3 linked regions of the Neodiprion lecontei genome follow. The protein of the gene in region 1 purifies or fractionates together with the protein of each later gene. This does not show direct contact. Links are inferred from orthologs where the notes say so. Each region holds a gene or a part of one and is shown in the gene's direction. Other genes may lie near its edges.

Evidence for each region.
Region 2: the proteins of cullin-3-A (region 1) and ring canal kelch homolog purify together in Drosophila melanogaster (affinity purification with western blotting; 3 studies listed by BioGRID). This does not show direct contact. The link is inferred for Neodiprion lecontei from reciprocal best matches to the Drosophila melanogaster genes Cul3 and kel.
Region 3: the proteins of cullin-3-A (region 1) and BTB/POZ domain-containing protein KCTD5 purify together in Drosophila melanogaster (affinity purification with western blotting; 4 studies listed by BioGRID, with this or other methods). This does not show direct contact. The link is inferred for Neodiprion lecontei from reciprocal best matches to the Drosophila melanogaster genes Cul3 and inc.

Annotation. Positions count from the first base shown.
Region 1 is NC_060264.1:23,155,726-23,165,045, forward strand, and holds cullin-3-A, read left to right. Parts: upstream 1-2,953; 5' UTR 2,954-2,968; coding exon 2,969-3,094; intron 3,095-3,169; coding exon 3,170-3,553; intron 3,554-3,628; coding exon 3,629-3,832; intron 3,833-3,915; coding exon 3,916-4,095; intron 4,096-4,208; coding exon 4,209-4,583; intron 4,584-4,652; coding exon 4,653-4,823; intron 4,824-5,592; coding exon 5,593-5,700; intron 5,701-5,820; coding exon 5,821-5,998; intron 5,999-6,077; coding exon 6,078-6,304; intron 6,305-6,382; coding exon 6,383-6,552; intron 6,553-6,620; coding exon 6,621-6,759; intron 6,760-6,844; coding exon 6,845-6,969; intron 6,970-7,066; coding exon 7,067-7,091; 3' UTR 7,092-7,127; exon of another isoform or gene 7,128-7,755; 3' UTR 7,756-8,249; downstream 8,250-9,320. Other genes in the region: isocitrate dehydrogenase [NADP] cytoplasmic, read left to right, coding at 1-53.
Region 2 is NC_060260.1:28,569,356-28,575,925, forward strand, and holds the start of ring canal kelch homolog, read left to right. Parts: upstream 1-3,021; 5' UTR 3,022-3,428; coding exon 3,429-3,481; intron 3,482-4,349; coding exon 4,350-4,496; intron 4,497-5,991; coding exon 5,992-6,396; intron 6,397-6,486; coding exon 6,487-6,570. UniProt on the Drosophila melanogaster protein: Component of ring canals that regulates the flow of cytoplasm between cells. May be involved in the regulation of cytoplasm flow from nurse cells to the oocyte during oogenesis. Binds actin.
Region 3 is NC_060261.1:41,717,874-41,724,800, forward strand, and holds BTB/POZ domain-containing protein KCTD5, read left to right. Parts: upstream 1-2,867; 5' UTR 2,868-2,869; coding exon 2,870-3,094; intron 3,095-3,256; coding exon 3,257-3,553; intron 3,554-3,906; coding exon 3,907-4,098; 3' UTR 4,099-5,716; downstream 5,717-6,927. Other genes in the region: glucose-induced degradation protein 4 homolog, read right to left, coding at 623-686, 799-1,031, 1,872-2,039, 2,396-2,542.

The DNA of each region.
Region 1 (9,320 bases):
AGTTTATGGACAAGCTCGCTGACAATTTAAAGAAGGAACTGGCCAAGGCGTGACTGCAAACATACATGTTCCCAGATATCCGGAGGTCGAAGCTTTGAGCCCAGGAAAGGGCTGCTGCTTCATTTATTCCAGAATCTATTGCCAATTTTTTCAGTTTAAACCTTCGAGGGGTGTTTATTGGATGAGGAAAATAGTTTTTTTTTTTTTTTTTTTTAGACAATACATGCGTTAATAGCACAACACTCAAGTATTCTTAAGTATGAAAATGCCATTGTTATTACAGGAACCTTTAGCCTGTGAAATATTTTTGTAAACCTATAAGTCAAATGAACGATTTTCGTCTGGTTTTCAATGTATAAACAAAAGGTTTTATAAATATGTTTTACAATGATTTTACCATTTGATTGCCTCATTTACAGGAACTGTGAAAACCTGCATGTGCGAATATTGTTGGATTATCTATAGTCTCGTATTCCTTCGAAATAGCTGTGGACTGATATGAAACCTTGCTCTACAGCTACACTGTATTCAAATTATATAACTTCAAGACTTCCTGAGTAGCCATGGTCAAAGATCAAGTTGGATACTTGAATTGCGTATACTTTACGTAACTCCACAACTTGAATGTTGGCATAAAACGCAATTCTTTTCCACCTATATCTAAATTATCGGTAACCGGTTACTTGCTAGTTCATTGTAATGAAAGATTGATTTCAACAAATTGGTGATCGATGAGTGAGCCTTAAATGCGCCGAAAATACAGCGTTCGTTTGAGCACTGAAAAAAATTATGAAGCATTTACTTCCGAACTATCGGCTTTGGACGAATAGTTTCGAAGGGCTAATAGAAAGTCATTGTATTACAAGACCAGTGTAGTGCATCATGATAATTCCTAGGAAATTGCGTCACCGAGAGCGAGAGGTATTGCAGTATCAAAAACCCTCCTAGCCATCTAACTATCCGAACAGAAGGCTTCTAGACAGCTGTATTGGAATTTTCTCACCATGGATGCTATAGAGCTGTAGTATCGGCAGTCAGTGATGAAATGCAGCTTTATCGTTTAATGGAATTGGATAATTCATCCAGTGCGATATACCGCGGTATACATCTATGCTTGGTAAACGCGTATTTTATTATAGTTTTAGGTTACGTTACGTTCAAAAAAACCTCTTTGCCATCTAACTATCGGAACAAAGGGCTCCTAGTCAGCTGTACGGGAACTTCTTTACCATGGGGGTTGGAGGCATGTAGTTCCGGTAGTCGGTAATGAAATGCAGCCTAATTATTCAACGGAATAGGATTATTCGCCAAGTGCGATATTTTGTGTATACAATTATGCGTGGTAATCGCGTATTTTGTTACAGTTTTATGTTACGTTCCATTACATCGTGATAAAAATGTGTATTTATAGTACCGCGTGAATCGAACGCAGCCCACAGCGCTCGATTAGTTATTCGCGCTCCGTGCTCGCTTCATCGCCTTCTCCTCCTCCTCCGGCAGCCCGTCGTCATCGTCGCGGAATAATTAGGAAAATAGATCGTCTGATACACACGGTTGAAATTCGGTATGCCTCGATCTGTGGGAATATGTGCGTCATTCCATTGAAGTGAGATTAATTAAGGCGGAGGTAAAAAGGAAAGAAAAGCACAAAGAGAACTAACGAGGAAGAGACGAGCTTGTTAAAGACCGACGACGTGAGGCAGACGCGTTTAAATAACCCTATAAAATAAATTCTGTGTTTTGGTGGCGCGACTCCATTTTATACCTACCACTACCCACCACACAGTCCCGCGATAACGGGTAATTTCAGATGCCTTGTTTTCCTGTAAATAACCGACATTGACTGGTCGCTCGGTCCCCGTTGTTTCTCACCGTCGAGCGAGCGTCGATATTATTCCTCGAACCCACCATTGCGAAATACACGTCGCCCCCGCGCCCGCCCCTGGCCTCGATGCGTGAATGACACCGTTAAAGCTTTGTAAATGTGCGTACGGAGATCGAGATTTTCGCTGACTCGATTTTATAGTGTTGGTAGTAATAATACCGAAGTGTCAAGCTGAACGAAGACCCTTGAGGAGATTTTTTACTACTGAAAATGATGAAGAGCGGTGCGACCCACAAGAGAGAAAAAATGCGGATACGCGCGTTTCCGGTAAGAAGATTTCTCACGTATCTTATTTCCCTCATCGACGAATATGCATGCCCATTTGATTAAAAGGAGGAAAAACTCGCTGCTCCTCGCCTCGCCTCGCCTCGCCTTTCGACTCGGGCAGTTTTCATATTGTCACGATCTCACGATCCTCGAGGCTCGACGCTCGGGTCCGTCGGATTTCACGCACTGTCATTTAAATGGAAATATGTCCACCCGTCATCCTCCCCACCTCCTCTTTCCCGACCCCTTTAACCTAGCTCACATCGACTAAAACCATATAACAATATAATATATTTGATCAGCTTTCACTTTCGGCCCCTTTGTATATTGTATCAAGATAGCCAAACCACAGCAGCCTACGAAAGGTGCACTGGTTTGGTGAACGAACCTAATGTGTTTTTTTCCCCATTCTCACCCCCCCCCCCCCCCCCCCCAAATTCAAGACAGTTGCCTTAGCAGTCATAAAGACAATGGAAAGGAGTATGCCTTTCACTTTTTTTTCCCTACAAATCCAAAAACGAAATTTTTCACCCCGACAAACGCTACTTTCGCCAAATTTTCAAGTCCAAAGTCTTACAAATCACTGAAACTATCAATAGGCTGATAGATTGCCTGTTCAAAGGACTAGGCCTGGATGTAGAAACTCCAATTTAGTGACAGCAGTAATCACGTCTTTGCTGATGCTATATTGACAAGTCAAGGTTAATTTTGAGCGTTCTTGATATGGCGACTATGCCGATCGACACATAAAACAATAGGTTAAAGAAAGTGATTGAGCGGTCACCACACAGAGAAGGATTGGATAAAAATCCAACCATGGAACGTGGTCAGTTAGAAAAACCAACTTCACAAATTATGTGTGGAGCACTCAGTGAAATAGCTACTATCTCAGGGCTGTTTCGATCAGGGAATCCGAGCTCCCTTGTGATCGTCGACACCCTTGTGAGGGACACTGCCTATTAGTTTGCCAAATCAGCGTTGATTTTTTATTCTCACACCTAGATGCTCTGTTTTTAGATGACCATGGACGAAAAATATGTGGAGAGTATTTGGGCACTGTTGAAGAACGCCATACAAGAAATACAAAAGAAAAACAACTCCGGCCTGAGTTTTGAGGAGCTGTACCGAAATGCATACACCATGGTCCTTCACAAGCATGGCGAGCGTTTGTACACCGGGTTGAAAGAAGTTGTTACGCAGCACCTGGAGTCGAAAGTTCGGGAAGACGTGCTACGCTCCCTTCACAACAATTTTCTCCAGACACTGAATCAGGCTTGGAACGATCATCAGACCTCTATGGTTATGATCAGGGATATACTAATGTACATGGATAGGGTTTATGTGCAACAGCATGATGTTGACAACGTCTACAACTTGGGCCTAATCATATTCAGGGATCAGGTAACACATCGATTGAAACCGTTGCTTTCGCTACATCTGTACAAATCCTTTTTGACGAATCGTTATTTATTTCAGGTAGTCAGGTACGGCTGCGTGAGGGATCATCTACGCGAGACACTCCTGGGCATGGTAGCGAGAGAGAGAAGGGGGGAGGTCGTTGATCGAATCGCGATAAAGAATGCATGTCAAATGCTAATGCTGCTCGGTATAAACTGTCGCCAAGTTTACGAAGAGGATTTCGAGAGGCCTTTCTTACAACAGAGCGCTGAATTTTACAGGGCAAGTTTTACTTTTATTTTCACAAAACCATATCAATTGTCCTATTAATTTTCAATCAATCGTGTTTAACGAATATTCAACAGATGGAGTCGCAAAAGTTCCTTGGCGAGAACAGCGCCTCAGTCTACATAAAGAAAGTTGAAGCTAGAATTCTTGAAGAGTCAGAACGGGCGAAGCACTATCTGGACGAATCCACAGAGCCAAGGATAGTCAAAGTGGTGGAAGAAGAGTTGATTAAAATACACATGAGAACCATCGTTGAGGTGAGGACAAAATTTAGCAGTAAACTTCATGTATATCAAATCTTTGTTACGTGTTACAGAATTGCTCTAAAGTCTTGTAAACTTTGAAATAATTCAAATGAATGCTGTTGCAGATGGAAAACAGTGGTGTGGTGCATATGTTGAAGAACCAGAAAACTGAAGACCTTGGTTGCATGTACAAATTATTCGCGAGAGTAACAGACGGATTGCGCACTGTATCAGATTGTGTGTCGCAATTCCTCAGAGAGCAAGGACGCGCCTTGGTCCAAGAAGAGCATGAGCCAACCACAAACGCAATACACTTTGTGCAAAATCTGCTGGACTTGAAAGATCGTTTCGACCATTTCCTGCACCACTCGTTTAACAATGATAAACTATTCAAGCAAATGATCGCGTCGGATTTTGAACACTTTCTGAATCTAAATTCAAAGAGCCCTGAGTATCTTTCTCTCTTTATCGATGACAAATTAAAAAAAGGTGTAAAGGGGGTAAGTTGAATGCGGCTTGGCATGAAGATCCTTTCGTGCAGGTTTTAACTGAAATGTTACTTTCTACAGATGACAGAGCAGGAGATCGAAGGCGTGCTTGACAAGACAATGGTTCTCTTCAGGTTCCTGCAAGAGAAGGATGTCTTTGAGCGATACTATAAACAGCATTTAGCCAAGCGGTTGCTTCTGAATAAGTCCGTCTCCGATGACAGTGAAAAGAATATGATCTCAAAGCTAAAGGTACATGATCCATAATTGCGTCTTACAAACGCGCTCGTAGATGCGCTGACACCTAGTTTCATTCGGCATACTTTGGCAAACTGAGGCTAGAGTAAATTGTCCCATTGGATAGTGTGAAAATTTTAAATGGCATAGTTCTGGCAGACACAGGGCGCGTTCAACGTGGACGTGGACATCTTGATCGCAATGAAAAAGCTGAACGCTGAGCCACCCAAAGATTCCCAGGAGTCGTTCTTCCTTCAAAGGTCGAAGGGCTAGTGCACAAAGAGAAACTAGACTAGAGTATGTCCGTCCACCCTGTGTCCCGATCCCATTGTAGGATCAAGTAAGTGTCCGCTTTGTAAACCATGCTGAAAACCATGCTTCGAGCTGAGCAACCAACCGTCAAACCTTCCAACAATTTAATCATCCTTCGGTTCAGGCTCGTATGCGAGTATTATTCGTCAAAGTATTGGATCAAATTCAGACACGGCGCGTGTCTCGGGCATGCTTTACGAAGCTCTGATTTTCTTAGCCGATTAAACACTATATTGCAATTGGTGTGATAGACAATTTGGCAGAGGGAGTGGCAAAGACACATGCCTTGGAGTTCTGCATGGTTTAATAAAGCTAGCACTTTACTTATAAAAGACGTACGAATGTAGAAACCTTTCGTCAACTACTGCAGGACTTCAGGGCAGGTCAAAACCTCGATTCAAAACAGTTACCGCAGACTCTGACACTGTATATACGTACCTATATAATAACTCATAACTGTGCAATTTTTTAGACTGAATGCGGTTGCCAGTTTACATCAAAGCTGGAAGGAATGTTCAAGGATATGACGGTCAGCAATACTATAATGGAAGAGTTCAAGGAACACGTATTAACGTCTGGCGTAAGTTACAAACGTGTTGAAAAAAATCCTTCATTCTCACATCAAATCTGAAATGATCAAACTGACGTGGAACTGCTCAGGCATAATTATTTCTGGATAATTGTTTATCAAATTTCACAGACAAGTCTACACGGCGTTGATCTGAGCGTGAGGGTTCTGACAACAGGATTTTGGCCAACACAGTCAGCAACACCGAATTGCAGTGTGCCCTCAGCGCCAAGAGAAGCGTTTGATGCTTTTCGATGTTTCTACTTGGCCAAGCATAGCGGTCGTCAACTGACGTTACAACCACAATTGGGTAATTACTAGTCATCTTTGTTGAATCGAGTTCAAGCAGAATTGGCAAATTAATGGTTCATTGTTGACCGTGTGCACAGGTTCGGCTGACCTTAATGCGGTTTTCCATGGGCCTCGGAAGGAAGACAGTAATGGCGGAAGCGTGGACGTTCCCTCGTCCTCTACCACATTGGGCAACGGAAGTGGCAGTCTTTTAAGTCAGCGGGGAAGCAGCAGTGGAAATCCCCGCAAACATATTATCCAAGTATCGACGTACCAGATGTGCGTACTCATGCTCTTCAACAACAGAGATCGACTCACTTACGAGGTTTGTTACATTCCCATGATTTTAGTTGGTAAAAAGATAAATGATCTCTACTGATGCCAGCGTTTATTAATATCGCAGGAAATTCAGAATGAAACTGACATCCCTGAGCGAGATTTAGTCCGAGCATTACAATCTCTGGCAATGGGGAAGGCGACTCAGCGAGTTCTCCTCAAGCATCCCAAAACTAAAGAAATTGAGCCAACACACTGCTTCAGTGTCAATGATAGTTTCACCAGTAAGCTTCATCGGTAAGTTTTGAGATTGACATTATATCTTTGATCGTTTCTGCCTTATATCGGGTCTGTCCAACTTCTAGAGTAAAAATCCAGACGGTTGCGGCGAAAGGAGAGTCCGAGCCTGAGAGAAGAGAGACGAGGAACAAGGTTGACGAAGATCGAAAGCATGAAATAGAAGCGGCGATCGTGCGAATTATGAAGGCACGCAAACGCATGACAGTACGTATTCGTCTGTCGATCGCTTCATAAAATGTATGAATCTCGATCGTATTCGTTATCTCATACTTTGTTTCAATCTAATTAGCACAACATTCTCGTGACGGAAGTCACGGAGCAGCTTCGAGTACGATTCCTGCCCTCACCTGTCATCATCAAGAAACGCATCGAAGGGCTGATAGAACGTGATTATCTGGCCCGCACGGAAGACAGGTGAATAACACAGTTCTTTTTGTTTTTACCGTTCTTATATTTCCCACATGACTCAAACAAAACTTCGGTTCATCCCTACATTCACTATTTGTTACAGGAAAGTCTACACTTACGTGGCTTGAACACTGCCCCAAGCATCCCCAAGTTTGTACAATTGCGTAAGTGGCCACCCCAACATATTAGGCACGGTATTCACAATCTCGTATTAGTATCAAGCCTGCGCGTATTTAATTATTCGGATATTTCCTCGGCAATCGTTGTTATTATATTATCCTTCCCCCTTATCATAGAGATTTAAAAAGAATAAACGAAATTTTTTACATTCGATACCGAGTTGTTTCAAATATATATACTATGTACACATACGGCCGTCGGCAAGGGTAACTGCGTAGAGAACGCACGACGTGTACTTCATGAACCAAACTGGGTATTTCTGGGGAATTGTTATGCCCCAAAGAAGTTCTATAATTGCTCATCGTTGTCACATGACTGTCAACTAGTCTCGTATCAACTAATCGAACACAACTGCTTTGTGCAATACAAATTTCCTCTGCACATTCCAAGTCTTTTAAAATTAATTTGTGTTCAAAGTCTGCACGAATACTTTCTCCGTACTCTTCGTTTTATTTGTTTTGATTCGGTTTTGCTATTTTCTTTTGTTTTGTCACATGTGACAGTGATGAGTGGTTAACGGTAACGGACGTTTGTAGAGTGTAACATAAGATCTATAATAATGAAATCAAAACATTAAGATATACTTCATTTATTTATTTTTATTTTTTCCAGAATCTATCGACTCTGATATTAAGAACTCTGAGTCGAAATAAAATGAATTGATCGTATAAAATCTGTAACTAATTTGAGAAAGAAAAAACTCGCCAACGGTAAACAATATAGATTTAATTATTATAAAGAATTTAAATTATTCCAGATGCATTAATGAATTATACTTGCGTACATTTTACGTGTTATACTTCCGCCCTACCCTTGTCCCGTTTCATGTCCACTTCCTCTCTGAATAATTCCTTGTAGAATTTGGCTCTTGCAAAAACTATAAAATAATATACACAGGTATATTGTCGTGGGTAAAACAGCGACTGCCTATACCTAATTTGTTACGAACGCGACTGTAGAAATTGAGTGCGAATGTGCGTATATAATATATGCGAAAAGTTTTTTTTTGACTGGGTGTATAAGTAAGGTGTGTCTGAGTATGTATCTTCAAACTATTGTATATGATAATGAAAAAAACGTTGTATCAATAAATGGATTTAAATACAGTCAATTTTACCTATAAACATTATAATGGGTGAACCCTGATTTGGGACAAGAAATTCATACATTTTATCAGATTCACGTATGACGACAGAACAGAAAAAATACAAGAAATATGAATGCTCTCGTATTACGTTTCTATCACAAAAAATCGAACCTGTGCTTCAAAAAATGGTACAGTCAGAATCAAGTTTTCAGGTTCGTCGCGGTACAAATGCTGATCATTACGTGTACAATTAAAAATTCCTCTCAAGCAAGACCGGATTCTGCGCGCAGGGGGAATTGTGACAGATCGTGCGCGGCGTCGGCAGCGATCGGCGCGTTGTTAGTTTGCCGCCGGTGTTGGTGGCGCCAGGACTTCCAGGGATTGGACCTCCGTCGCGAGCTTGTCAGTACATGTAATAATTCACCGAACGTGGACGAGGCGTTCGTTTCATCTGTGTGCGAAAAATAATGTGCCGCTACCAGTCCGTGTTTCGACTTCTTTGAAGAGCGGTGAACAACGAGGGCTGGATGATTTCGCACCCCTGCACATTAGTGAGTACCATTGCATCCCTCTCCACTACACAGCCACCATTCGATTTACGAAAATTCATTGCCAATTCCTCTGACAAGGTCAAAAGAAGTCACGTGCAGGCATGCATTCGCGTCCCGTACGTTCCGGGAATACGTAATCGCGCCGCTGCGTAAGATAGAAAACCGCGATATCCCCACTAGGAAAAAGGCAGCGCACGCGGTTTCCTCGATATAGCGACCCTCATCCATTCGTCCAGCGGCAATTGATTCCTCTGTAGCATCATAGCGCGGTATTATACCACGATTTCCCATTTCGACGGAAGCAGTGATTCGTACTCGCGTATTCTTCCCGGTGTATTGTATCACGGCGTCGTTTCCACAGCCCCCGGGAACACGGAGGTGAGAAGAGACGTTCGTTCTGAAATACTTCCTCCTCGCCGGGGATATAAATAAGTTCGTTAATGGCCTAGGATTGCCAGTTCTTCCGGGGTGTGGTACACGAAACGCCATACAACTGTCCCTGAGCCGACGCATTCATCATGTACGTATAATGCTATATG
Region 2 (6,570 bases), on another chromosome or scaffold:
TTTGATGCGAATCGATTCTACAATGATACCACTATATGATACTTGTTTAAAATACAAAGTAAAAAATAGTGACGCCAGGTAAAACAAATACTCACAATTAGACTAGATAGTAAAAACCATTAGATAAGATGTATTTTTATTTTTCAGTTGACCTAGTATTTTTCGCCTTGTTATAAATCAATCGACAAAAAACTTTTGAACCGCGTAATGACCTGTAATTGTCAACGAACCGAGATCCTATATTCTATGAACATTTCGTTTACGCGAATAACAACTAAAGAATGGAGCGCCGTATCGGAGAAAATTGGCACCGAGTCCCTTTCATATCTCGACTCTCGATATTATACCGTTCCTAATATATCGTATACGCTAACTCGGGGTTCCGGGAAGCTAATTGAAAAACACACCCATAACCGGGCACCTTTTCGTAAGTTGGCCTCCGTACCTCTAGCAATCTCTGAACGTTTCAAGTCACACTGATTCAACTTCTTTGTCGCAGCTGTTGGCGAATTGCTGAATTCTTCGTCAGCCTAATCGTCCCCCACCCGACGCAAATACCTGTGAGTGACTCAGTGTGAAAAATTTTGCAAATACGTGCAAATCCCAAAGGCAAACCGTACGGGTCAGAATAATTCGGTGATCGGTGCCATGCGCTGCGCGTATACACGGCGTCCCACATATTGCGTGCCATGACGGTGTTAATTTCATACACGCTATAACGTTTCATTCAGTGCACCAAAGTGGCGCGTTTCCTAATTTGCTTACGTAATTTCTGAATGAACCGGCCTGCACGCGAATTCATACAGCCGTTTTGTGCGGCGGAAAATGGTGGCAGTGATCGTTAAAAAAAATAAATTAATAAACTGGTGAATTGAGCCGGAAGAAAACGAGGCCTGTAAGACATATTATTGTACACAAGTAGGTAATCGATAATAAAACGACACGATAGAATCTTCAGCGCGGCGTCGTGGCTCATCCTTTCGTCGAGTCGTAAACCCGAAATGCGCAGTTTGGCATTTCTCATACCTGTTTCATTGCTTGAGCATAAGAGAATCTATCCGGAACGCGAGTCAACTATGAAAGTTTCAATTGAGTCATAGTCCGCGCGATTCGTTGCCAATGCTTTGCGCATACGAAGATTGAATATTATTTTCCTCATTCACGAATGAGTAGATTCGTTTTTTTTTACAGAAACTTATAAACGTTTGGATGATCCGCGTAACTTCATCGCTGCTCGTCGAAGCGTTCGATATTGTAGCTTTGAGTTTAATTCTTTTGATTAATGACGATAATCGGCTGGAAAATACCGTTAAATGCGCGCAAGTATAAGCCGTATAATAGCCTTGCACTTGTCACAACAGACCTGCTGTTTCATTAAACATTTTGCGGTGAGACCTTAGTCGGAGGTAAGTATACACGCGGTGTAGTTGTCTACATATTCCGAAACGAATAAGACATGTCGTGACTGGTGTGATGAAGCGGCGGCGGTAACCCGAGAGGCGAAGTTTATTGCGAGTGGAAAAAGAACAAAAAACCAATTATAAAATACTGACTACGTCGACGAGAGGAACAGACGTAACATATATGTACAAGTCACGACGTCAAGTGCGCTGCAAACACGTAATACAGGTATATGTGTATAATACACAGGTGTACGCTGTATACTGTATACCTGTATGTACGCGTGGCTAGGGACGATTCTTATTGTTAGCACGATATCGTTTCGCGTGACATTGATAGAACATACGTTACAGATCATACAAGGACCACGCACCCTTAGCAAAGTTGAGATGATAGAAAGGGCCGAGATGCTCCCTGCGTTCCGGCTTTCAGCTTAACTTCCGTCGCACAGTATCACCGTTATGTCTGTCACTTTTTTGCGCGTGTCTTTGTATACATATATACGTGGCTGCGCAACAGCTTAAACCTCGCCGATTAAAAAGCCCGCCACGCGGCCTTCGAATGCCAATGATAAGAAGAGCAAGCAAACCTGGTGAACGGTTCGCTCCCCTCGAGATCCACGACGCGAATCGAAGATGCAGTCGGCGGATCGTCTCCCGGCTTTGGGTCTTCCTCCTCCTCTTCTTCTTCTTCTTTTTCGTTGTTTTAATTTTTTACCAAATTTAATCCTGGGAGCTTTTATACGAGATCCCTATACTCTTCGCATCCAATACACTCGTATCCCAGTCCCGACCGAACACCGCGACGCGCTTACACGGCTGGCTGCCGGGTGACTATCGAATCGCGCGATGAGGGCACCTTCCGAAGCCTCCACGATATCGCGGACCACGAGCGATACTCACGCCAGCCGCCCGGCGCCTCCACCACACCTCAGCCGCCTCGTCAGTCTGCCTCCTCCTCCGCCTTTTCTTTTCTTTTCTTCTTACGTTTGTGCGGCGGTTGCTTCTTCTCCGTAGCGTTTTTTCGCTCGGGTACATTTGGTATTTATTGAAGGCAAGCGTCGCTCGATCAGATTTGCTTTCCGCCCGACGTCTCCGCGATTTCACGCAATGAACCTCGCTGTCATTCGAACTTGATATTAATTTGCCTTTCTATTTTTTTCTAATTAATAACTCATCGTCATTGGCACTCTTTGAATGCGGTGATACGTCGATGGACTTGGTTCTCTTTCTTTCGTGTGAGCGCAATTAATTTTGCAATTTGCATAACGGAGGAGAAAAAAAAACACCGTTCAAACAAACTGGTATGATCGTGACGCCGTCAATTGTTTCACTGAACTTTCTTAAACATTTTCTTGTTCGGTTACTACCGTATCATCAGTCGGTAGGATATGTACGGCTCTTTCGTTGTTGTCAAATCGTCATCAACGTAGAATAATCTTCGGTTATTATGGAAAAACGATGTCACGTGAATCAATAAAGATTTTAAATTTTTTCACTGGTTTAACGCAATAGTTATCAATTTCTGACCTTCTTTTGAAAAGAATTACTATCGACTAATCACGGTCGGTAAGACGGTCCCGTTCTATCTACTATTGCTTTTGGGGAGCCAAAAGCTTGATGAAAACGTCAATAGATGGAGTTACAACTTTGTTGATACGAGTACCCTCGCATATCTATAAATACATCGGACGCCATCTTTGGTGTTTACCAGTAGTGCTGTAGCTGAAACTTGGTTTTAGGCTCGACTTTCGTTGAAGAGAGTGTTTTCCGTTTTCAAAAAGTGGCCGATGATAGACAGTGAAAGCTTAGACTATATCATGATGATTCTAAGAGTGTATCGAATACGTGTTGTGTTCAATAGTCGAAATTCCGTGTCCGAGACGATGATTTAGTCGAAAAACAGTGTTGGCACGTAACGTGCGAGATATCCGACATACATACATCTCTCGTCGTATTTGTGTTTAATGGAATCTCTATAGATTAATTTGCGACTACTAAACTGCACTATCACGAATCACCGTGGACATGGAGCCGTCATCGAACAGCGGAAGCGGCGATGGAAATGACACCAAGGGCAGGTGAGACCTCCTTCTCTATTTCTCTCTGTCGAAAGTAGGAAACCATGTTCAAACGTTCGAAATTCACCGTAGCTCACTTGTTCTTACGATGTGTCCACAATTGGCGTGAAACACATCACGAACATGTTTGCTGACGACATTAATAACGGTCTTTCCTTACAAAAACAGCAAAATTCGCTGCAGAAAATTACTCCTTAAATAGAAATTACCGCGAAGTTCCCAACGCATATCGCACACATGCAGACACGGATCGTATGAGATATACGAGGCCTGTAGCCTCTGTTTACTTACTCGAAAAGTGTACGAATACTGAGAAAATACTAATTGACAGTCATTCGTACGGTGCAACGGTAAACCCAGAAATTCTGTGATCTTATTCCTAACTGCGCGAATCGTGACTGGCGCGTTTCAAGCTAAAGCCAAGGCGCCTTTTGTATTCCTAACGATATTCCGGAGTAGGATGCTCCCGTGAAATACAATGAAGATCTATCTTACTCCGAGAATATCTGTCAAATCTTTGGTCAAAGGGACGTGAGAACGTACGGATCATTGTCTGGCGATGATGTCTGCTTGTCTAAATATCCCCTGCCGCTTCTCCCCCTCCTCCTCTTTTCCCCTTGTGGTTTAAGTTATTTTTGTTATCTAGCTGCTGGGAGACGGAGTGGGAATAAGGTCTTCACCCTTGGACTTTGTACGTCTCGTGCACAACTATGTACAGCGTATACTATACTTTTATAGAAAAAATATTGAGCGATGAGCGAACATGGAGCAGAGAAAAAAGTTTCAATTTCGCAATAGAGAAATTTTTCATTTCTAGTACTCTTGGTACTTTCCATTTCTCATTTAAATATACTTTGTTTACTTTCAGCTGTTTGCTACTGCGCTACGCAAGCCAGAATTCGCTCGACGAGAGCTCACAGAAACACATTCCAAGGGAAAATGGAAAGGACAAACCACCTTATCGAAACCACCATCACACTAATCGGGCATTCGACGTGATGAATACCATGAGAAAGTAAGTGTTACATTCAATAACTTGCGTCTACCGTGCGTAGAAAATTAATAGATCGTACACATCCGGCATATGCCGAGGAAAAAAAGCTGCTTTTCGCAGAAATTTATAGTTAAAGTCTCATTAATTTGTATCCCAAGATTTTAGTACACAACCTGTTACGTTTTACTTATATAGATTTTCTATTATTTTCTCGATTTGTTTTTTTAATTTTTTTTTTTTAAATTCTTTTCGCTTCGCAACTTAACGCCTCCATGACATAACAACATATCCGACAGTGACCTTTGCTAATTCATCATGATTTCAGTAACAAATTACCGTCAATTTAGCTCCTGATTCAACGGTTGCGCGAAGATGTGAGCGTGGTCACTAGCATATAATGAGCAAACTATTACACACTTTCTACTTTTAGAGGCGCCGCGATATTCGGGGGGAAAAAAACGAACACACAAAAAATAGAATGATAATAAATTGAAGAGAAAAAAGAGATTACAACGGAACAGCCTCCGGTGAACAAACGGGCTAATCTTAAGGAGTTTCGTCATCCACCGCATGAAACGCGTAGTGCAATTTGTTTGTCTGCTCCTTGCTTTTTTTGATCTTCTTGGTCTAGACTTTTTTATGTTACGAACGTTTGGTACGTCACTGATTCAATACTCTGCGGAGTGTGGCATCTTTCGTTTACACCATCGATATAAATAATCTTGAGCATTCTCTGGAATTCTCGGTGTAGCCCGATGAATCGCCGCGACCGGATCCAGGCGTTTTTTCGATTCTTGTTAAGGATTTATGAAATACCCTCGAGTAATCGACGGACGCTATATCGGGCCGGAAGTTTAGAATTTAACACGTACCGCCGTTTCATGCATCAACAGATTTTACTGCTTATTGTAACAGCGTGACACACCTTCTTTGAACATCATTATTCCTACCCTTCGAATAAAACCTGGAATTTTCATGGTGTGAAAGAAAAAAAATGTGAACGGCAGCGTATAGACACTGGCGATGTACAAAATAATTTGAAGATTGGAATATCACATTTTTACTCCCCTAGATGAATGACCTCCCATCACATGTAACGAAGATGTAGTTCGTTGAATGTATCTTGGAAAATTCAAACTCGAAACAGCAATTACAACATTCACATGTTTTAAATCTCTGAAAAGCTCAAATATTCTCATCAATAATGCTTCTACTCGCGACCATAAAAGTGGACGCTACAGGTATTCCTCAAATTCAGCGCTAACGTTGTTATATCTGGAGTATGAAACTTTGCTTTCATGTATTATGCTCACTGTGTAATTCCCTTTTCAAAATCGCGAAAACTATCGGCGCCGTTTGAAGGCTGGAAAACTTTTCTTTGCTGTTAAAGTCGATACCTCTTCGGAAAGAAGTCGCGTCTACGATCTATTTTATCACAACTTTGGGCAAGGATAGGCATAGAACTGAGGAATGGTGAGGGAAAAAAAAGTTTGACACAAAATGCAATTGATCATAGGCAAAACCTGCTTTGCGACGTGACCTTGGTGGCGGATGGCGGGGTGGAAGTTCCTGCCCACAAAATGGTGTTGGCCGCGTGCAGCCCGTACTTTTATGCGATGTTTACGAGCTTCGAGGAGCGGGAACGAGAGAGGATCACTCTGCAGGGTGTTGACCACGCTGCTCTCGACCTCCTCGTCGACTACGTCTACTCCGCGGAGGTTCACGTCACCGAGGACAACGTGCAGGTGCTTCTGCCGGCGGCGAATCTCCTCCAGCTAAACGACGTCCGTGACGCGTGCTGCGACTTTCTTCAGGCCCAACTCCATCCGTCCAACTGCCTTGGCATCCGAGCCTTCGCCGATCTCCACGGGTGTATGGAGCTCCTCGCGCACGCCGACAGCTACATAGAACAACATTTCTCGTAAGGGTCATAGATACTCGTAACCATGATGATTGTGCGCGGTTCCCTCGTCTTACCACCTTTCTTTCACTTCTGCTTTCGATCGTGCAGAGAGGTAGTCGAAGGAGAGGAGTTCCTCACCCTGACCCCGCAACAAGTCGCCAAGCTGATATGCAGCGATCGTTTGACTGTTCC
Region 3 (6,927 bases), on another chromosome or scaffold:
GTATCAAAACAAATAATAACAACAATTTTGTGACAAAATCACTAACTCTATAAGTTTTCTTCTATTCTTTTTTTGCTCTTCACAAAGGAAAAAACACAACCTTCGAATTCCAATATTAATTTAGTATTTTGAGAGAAAAAATACGCATGCTCCTGACACATTGACTGCAAGCACATATGTAACAGTACAAAAAGAATTTTCAGATGCAATTCGTTTAATTGATAAAAGCCATCAATTGATTTATTTCGATTTTAAAACACCTTACAATGAATACTTGTATAATTAATCATTAATAAGCAAGCGTATCACTCGTCGAGGCACTCTGTTCCTCTACCGTTCCATAATAAATAACAACCAGCTCGACTCTTACCGTTTGTATTCATACAAACTTAAAAGAAGCGCATTGTTTTATTAATCGGTATCAATACAGACTTATACGTTGCGAATAAAATGATAACCCAATTTGCCAATTTTCTCAGCCTCGAGTTTGTAAAATTAATATACAAATTTGTCAAGACAAGGGGTATATGTCAATTTCTGGATTTGGGATTATTATGAGATCGGTATGCCATAAGGGAAGGGATTCAGAAGGGCAACTGGGGCTGAGAAGCTGGCATTACTTTCACCTGAATTCATAAATTTGTATACTGTGTTCGGGAACATGTCGCAGATTCAACGACTGGAACCTACAACAATAATACACCAATAGACATTAAACAACATCATAGATTATGTCTCTTAGCATATATGTTATCATATACTGGACTAAAACATGTGCAAACAAGTTAATGTACAAACCATTCAGAGCTGCGATGGTAATAGTAGCCCTCGATTGATGCCGCAGACTTCTGGAAGCAGATGTAATAAAATCCAGCAAAGGAAGCACCATTAATGTCTGTGATCGTGTGATCAGGCACCAAAAAGTGCTCCTTCCATCTCATAAATACAAAGTCCGTCCCTTTAAGAGCTTCATAGTCAAAGGTATCAGAGTTGAAAGTCTTGGCATACTGACAGAAAGACTCGAATTTGCTCTGTAATAATAGCAATCACCATTTTCACTACTGCATACATACATAGAAATTAGGTGAATCCATTAAAGGGTATAAAAATGGAGTTGAAATGAACGAGAAAAATATGTAAAACAGTGGTATTCAGAGTCTTCGAATCAAAAAACTCGTAGAGTATTAATTCATTTTTGAAAATAATATTCAAGCAGAACTTTTTGTGTAAATAGTTCCAAACAATATTTTTATAAATACAAGTCGAGTTGTGTTCCACAGACTTTTATTCGGTAAAAATTTTATAAATCTACATGTGAGGGCATCTCACACGAATGAAGGGTGTAAGTCTTTTCATGTTTTATCTAATACCAAAACCATTTACTCATATTCAAAACAATATGGTAACCAGTTCAACAAAGATAAAAGAGAAAAAATACAGTTATTTCAAAATATCAGAGCCTTATTTCTGATAAGTTCAATTGTATTTTCAGCCAGTTTCAATGGTATATCTGCCTCAACTGTTACAGAATTCACATATGAATTGAGTAAATGAAATACACATGCATACTTATCACCACAAAAGATAAGCAAAACTAATTTCGTCTCATGAAATTGCGGGATTATCACAGATATATTATGTCACCGGATATACTAATTACGAGAAAACAACTTTGATTATCTAACACTTGCATGACAAAGACAACAACTTTGGGAGGGAAAAATAGATAGACAATGTAGTTCATAACAAGCCTTGTTTCTGTAACTTTTGAACTCTTGATAGTACGATTTTGCCCTGTCAGGTAAATGATGAAAAGTATTATACAAAGAGAAATTTGGATTCAAAACTTATTCAAAAAGTTCAGAACAAACCCAATGTTTCTTGTCAACATCCTCATTGGCGTCCCATTTTCGAGTGAGAAAAGGATACTTCTTAGATATGATTTCACCGTCGAAGAACGTTGTCAATGTAGGGTACTCTTCAGTTAACCCTTTGATTTTGAGGTACCCGCATAAGTAGCTGTTTTCTTCGTCGACATGCTGAAATGAGATCAACGACGAGAAGATTACTAGACGAGGCGAAGCGTGCTGTAATTAACTTAAAATTCGTCAGCTGAGAGCTAACATTATATTTGGTACAATATTGTAGCTGATTAACCTATAAATGAAAACGTGATAAACACGGATCAGCGTGGATGATTGGAAATGACATTAACGTTCGTTAAAATAAAAATCCGCAGACTAGACACCGCGTTCAAACAGGCCTGAGTAAAGTGTCAAAACCCAGCGCGACTCGGTTATCTGGAGAATTGGTACCCAGTTAGACACCGAGAGGTGTTCAGCAGAATCCCAACGTTGAGGCGTAATTAATCCGCAACACGAGTAGCACAACTAACCTGCAAAATAACCTCGACGTCGTAACTATTTCCTTTCGATTTTTGCGAGCCTTGAAATCTCGAGCCGTTGTAGAGGAGGGACTTTGTAACTCCAGGTTGCTTCGAGTTAGCAGGCGGCGGTGGCACCACGTCTACTTTCACCGGCATTCTAAGCCTGAGTGCTCAAACCGAGCCAACAACCATCAAACATCTCCTCGTCACAAGATCATCGCAATGACTGCCGGTAGCGCACGAAAGATGGTTGGATTTATATAAGGTCTCGACCCCGAACAACGCTGATCAAATTTGCAGCTGACTCGCGATCTGTTGTGTAAAGACGATCGAAAAATATGAATGCAAATATGCCAACTGAGATCTATTAGCCGCGGTTCCAACGCTTGCATTTTTTTATCGCGGACCATAATCGCCTAGTTTTTCGATTGCTCAAAGCAGTTGTGCGTACGTTTTCCGGATCCATGTTAACGGTGATCGGAAATGGAAGGAGAATGTTGTGTCAAAACTAAGATGGCGGAGTTTGGCGATACAAACTCCCACGACGGAGTGACGGAAAATAACCTTCCGAAACGGTGTAACAATCAGTGGGTGAAATTGAATGTTGGTGGGACGTATTTCTTGACGGCCAAAACGACGTTGGCCAGAGATCCGAACTCGTTTCTCTATCGGCTGTGTCAGGAAGACTCGGATCTCATCTCTGATAGGGTTAGTTTACACTCGAAAAGAACCGGGACTTTTAAAACCGTGCGCTAACACACGACATCATAAAACTCCACGTCTCGTCTCGAGCGTCGAGTTCCCACCACGTGAGTATATATGGCCTCAAAATTCTAATTTGCTTCTTTTTTTTTTTTATTACATCCATAGGATGAAACTGGAGCGTATTTGATCGATCGAGATCCAACTTACTTTAGTCCAGTTCTGAATTACCTGCGTCACGGTAAGCTAGTTATCAACAAGGACCTGGCTGAAGAAGGAGTCCTAGAGGAGGCTGAATTCTACAACATTACCGAGCTCATTAGATTGGTTAAGGAACGAATTCTTCTCAGGGATACACGGCCGATGCGCGACTCTAAGAAGTATGTATACAGGGTATTGCAATGTCACGAAGATGAGCTGACACAGATGGTTTCCACAATGTCGGACGGGTGGAAATTTGAACAGGTATGAATTGCTCGTTTGGCTTAAAGAGGAATTGGGTGCGCAGTTCCGCTGATAAAGTGTCTGGATGAAAAGTTAGTAGAGTAAAAATGCACTTAGCCAAGTTAAATTTGATTGAAGGAATATTCCCTCAAACAACTGGAATTTATTAGCTCAATCCAGAGGATAAACGGTTTTTTCTACGTATTACGAAAATATCTTAAACTCCGACGACTTCAGTTATAACTCTGAAATCGGTATTTCGTCATATACTTACTTTTCCAAGTACTCAAGTAGATTGTGCACCCAATGTATTCTTAGCGCAAATCAATGTAGTAATTACAATGATTTGCTACTTTCATCTTTTGTCTCTATAGCTCATCAACATTGGATCCCAGTACAATTATGGAAATGAGGATCAGGCGGAGTTCCTATGCGTCGTTAGTCGCGAGTACGGAGCTAGTCAGATCAGCAGCAAGGAACAAGAGGCGACTGATCGTGTGAAGGTATTGACACCTTATACAAACATCCTACATTCCCACCCCACTCAGAGCAGTCACGATTCATGATTCGGGAATAAGTGTTACAGTTTTTTTTGTACTTGCACACTACCCTTACACCTCCATCACCAGCATTGATATTAAGCCTGGTTTTATATTCCGTAATTTTTGTACAATTTTCTCTTGAATACCGTTTTTGTTAACGGACATTCAAAAGAGCTTCATGAGCTGGTACAGTATTTTAATCTAGTGGACCAATTTATTAAATAAAAATACAAAACAGAATACGATAGAAATATGTCATTCTCTAGTAAGAGCTAAGTATGGCTGTGTATTTCATTACTGGAAAACTTGCTGTACAAGTATCTCTTACATCTTAAAATTCGTTAATTTTAATTTTATTACGAATGGTTTTTGTACTAAATATAATGAAGTTTCATTGCATATGCAGAGAAGTGAGGAAAGATTCGGTATTTAGTTTTTATAGAAATGCCAGTATTTGTTTTACTAGTAGCACATTGTAGAAGTATTGTATTAATCATTTTTTATTGTATTTACCATTATGTAGATTGTCCAAAGATTTTCAATAACAAATCGAACAATTTGCTTTAGCTAGATGAAGTTTTTAATACGGACCTTGTAAACTAGTGGATGTGAATCAAGAACATCAGAAAACAGACTCTCTGAAAACTTAATAATAATGACAGTGAAATTGTAAGCGCGTAGTTTAACGCTTTCTTTATTCATTATTATTTTTTTTTCACACTAATAATAGTGATTTTATAATGTTTCATGTTCATAAAAGCTCTGCACTTCCACTGGTATACATATTGTATGATATTTTTTATATAATATACTACTTAGAGCAGCCACTACGAATGTTGACAGGTGTTACTGTATCCAATTTTATCGGGGTGTTATTCATTCGTTTTGCCTTCATAGATCTTATAAGATTAATCTTATCGTCAGGAAATTATCAATGTTTCCTCGCAGAATAATGCCTCGACAAACATCATATTGTAATGTTTCAACATTGAAACCTGGTGGTTCTGAACATGTTATATGTAGAACATACATATAAGTAATTTTTTTACCAACTTTTTCCACCTTATAGAACAAAAATCAATTGGGAAATTTGAGAACATCGATTTCTGCCTAATAATTTTCACGCTTATAATCGTGTATTTATCAATTTTTTCTAGTAATGTGTTTTCAGGCACGTTTCCTTGTCACATTAAAGGCAAGGAAACTTAGTTTTTATATTATTTAATATAAATTATAGAGTTTCCGCACCAGTTTCAATCAATTAAAAAAATGGAAAATTATAATAAAAGAATTTTGGAATCTTGGCTCTGATTTGTCAAATTCCAGCATCTCAAATCAAAAGGTAATCCAAATATGAGAAGGGTGATGTTATACGTTTTTAAGCAATTCGTGAACGCGCATATTAGCGAGGCAGTAGATATCTTGTGACTGAAATTAATGTTGTTTAATGTGAATTTAACGAGTCTCAAATTAAGTAATTTATATTCGATGTATTATCGAATATTCATCACAAGGCTGATCTATACATGCATGTTGTTCTTTGGAGTGTTTATATGTGATTTACTTTTATTTTGTTCAATTTTCGCTCCTCGTTACCATTGTATTGCATGCTATTCGTCAAATAAATAGTTATTTCATCCCAGTACAATTGGTTTGGTTACTATCATCACCCCGTCTTGCATGGTTACTCTGGCATGTTGATACATGGGTACAGAAATTAACTTTGGTTACAGTAATTTCTAATGTGATTGTCCAGTAGTGCGTTGTTGTATCCCTGCTTTCTCGTACTGAGAACAGTTATTATATTACTTTATCATATTTATGATCACATCGATAATACATGTAATTATATACAATATCCATCGCGTAGATATAGAAAAGATTATCTAGAATTCTACGTAACATTAAGGTAATTGATCAAAAATAAGTAGGAATGACAATATAATAAAGAAAAATGGTTTTATCCGTTATGTATTTTAAAATGAATCCAAAAGCACCAATAATTATTTTAAAAGCACGTGAAATAAAATAAAATTAAAAATAATAAGTTGGAGTTGTTCGATTCTATTCTAGGTCCTACAGCAGAAGGGCTCACGCATGTAAATCTAGTCCTGCTAGACCAACGTTGCAGCAAGAAGACGAAGACTGTGTTTTTCTTTCTTTCTTTTAATTTTTGTTTTTTTTTTCTGTTTAACTTAGCAGCTCGATTAATAAAATTTATATAGTTATGTACACACCTCTGCAACTATGTTGTTAGCATAACTTAACGAAAATAGTTTGGTAATCGGTAATATGTAACGAGTGATGAAAGTTTGTGACAATATCACGATTTCATTATTTGTTGCAGAGGCTAAAGAAGAAATAAATTCACGTACTACACATCGCAGGCATACACCGAAAACTCTTTAAGTCCAAAAGTAAACTATTTTTGTTGCATGTTGTATCGCATAATGGAGATATTTTTAACATACTGACAAAAATTCTCATCAACTTGATGTTATTTCCATCACGAATATGAATCGCATGCTCTTCCCATTTTCGTGAATTTTGGATTTCAAGGGTATTTGTCTCGTGTTGTATTCCAACGATTTGTATGATAAGTATATATTATAAATTTGTTGTTATTTAAATATTATTATTATATTAAATAGAATGTGTTGCCTGACGGTTAACAAGATGGTTCTGTATAGTAGATTTATAATCGAAATATACATGACCTGTTCACTTGACAGTGGACTAACTATAAAAACATTAAATAAACTAAACGAATAAATGAAAAATAAAAAAAAAGTAATATAAATAATAGGAGAGTACACTCTCAAAGCCGTTAACAATTTTCACGACATTATGGTA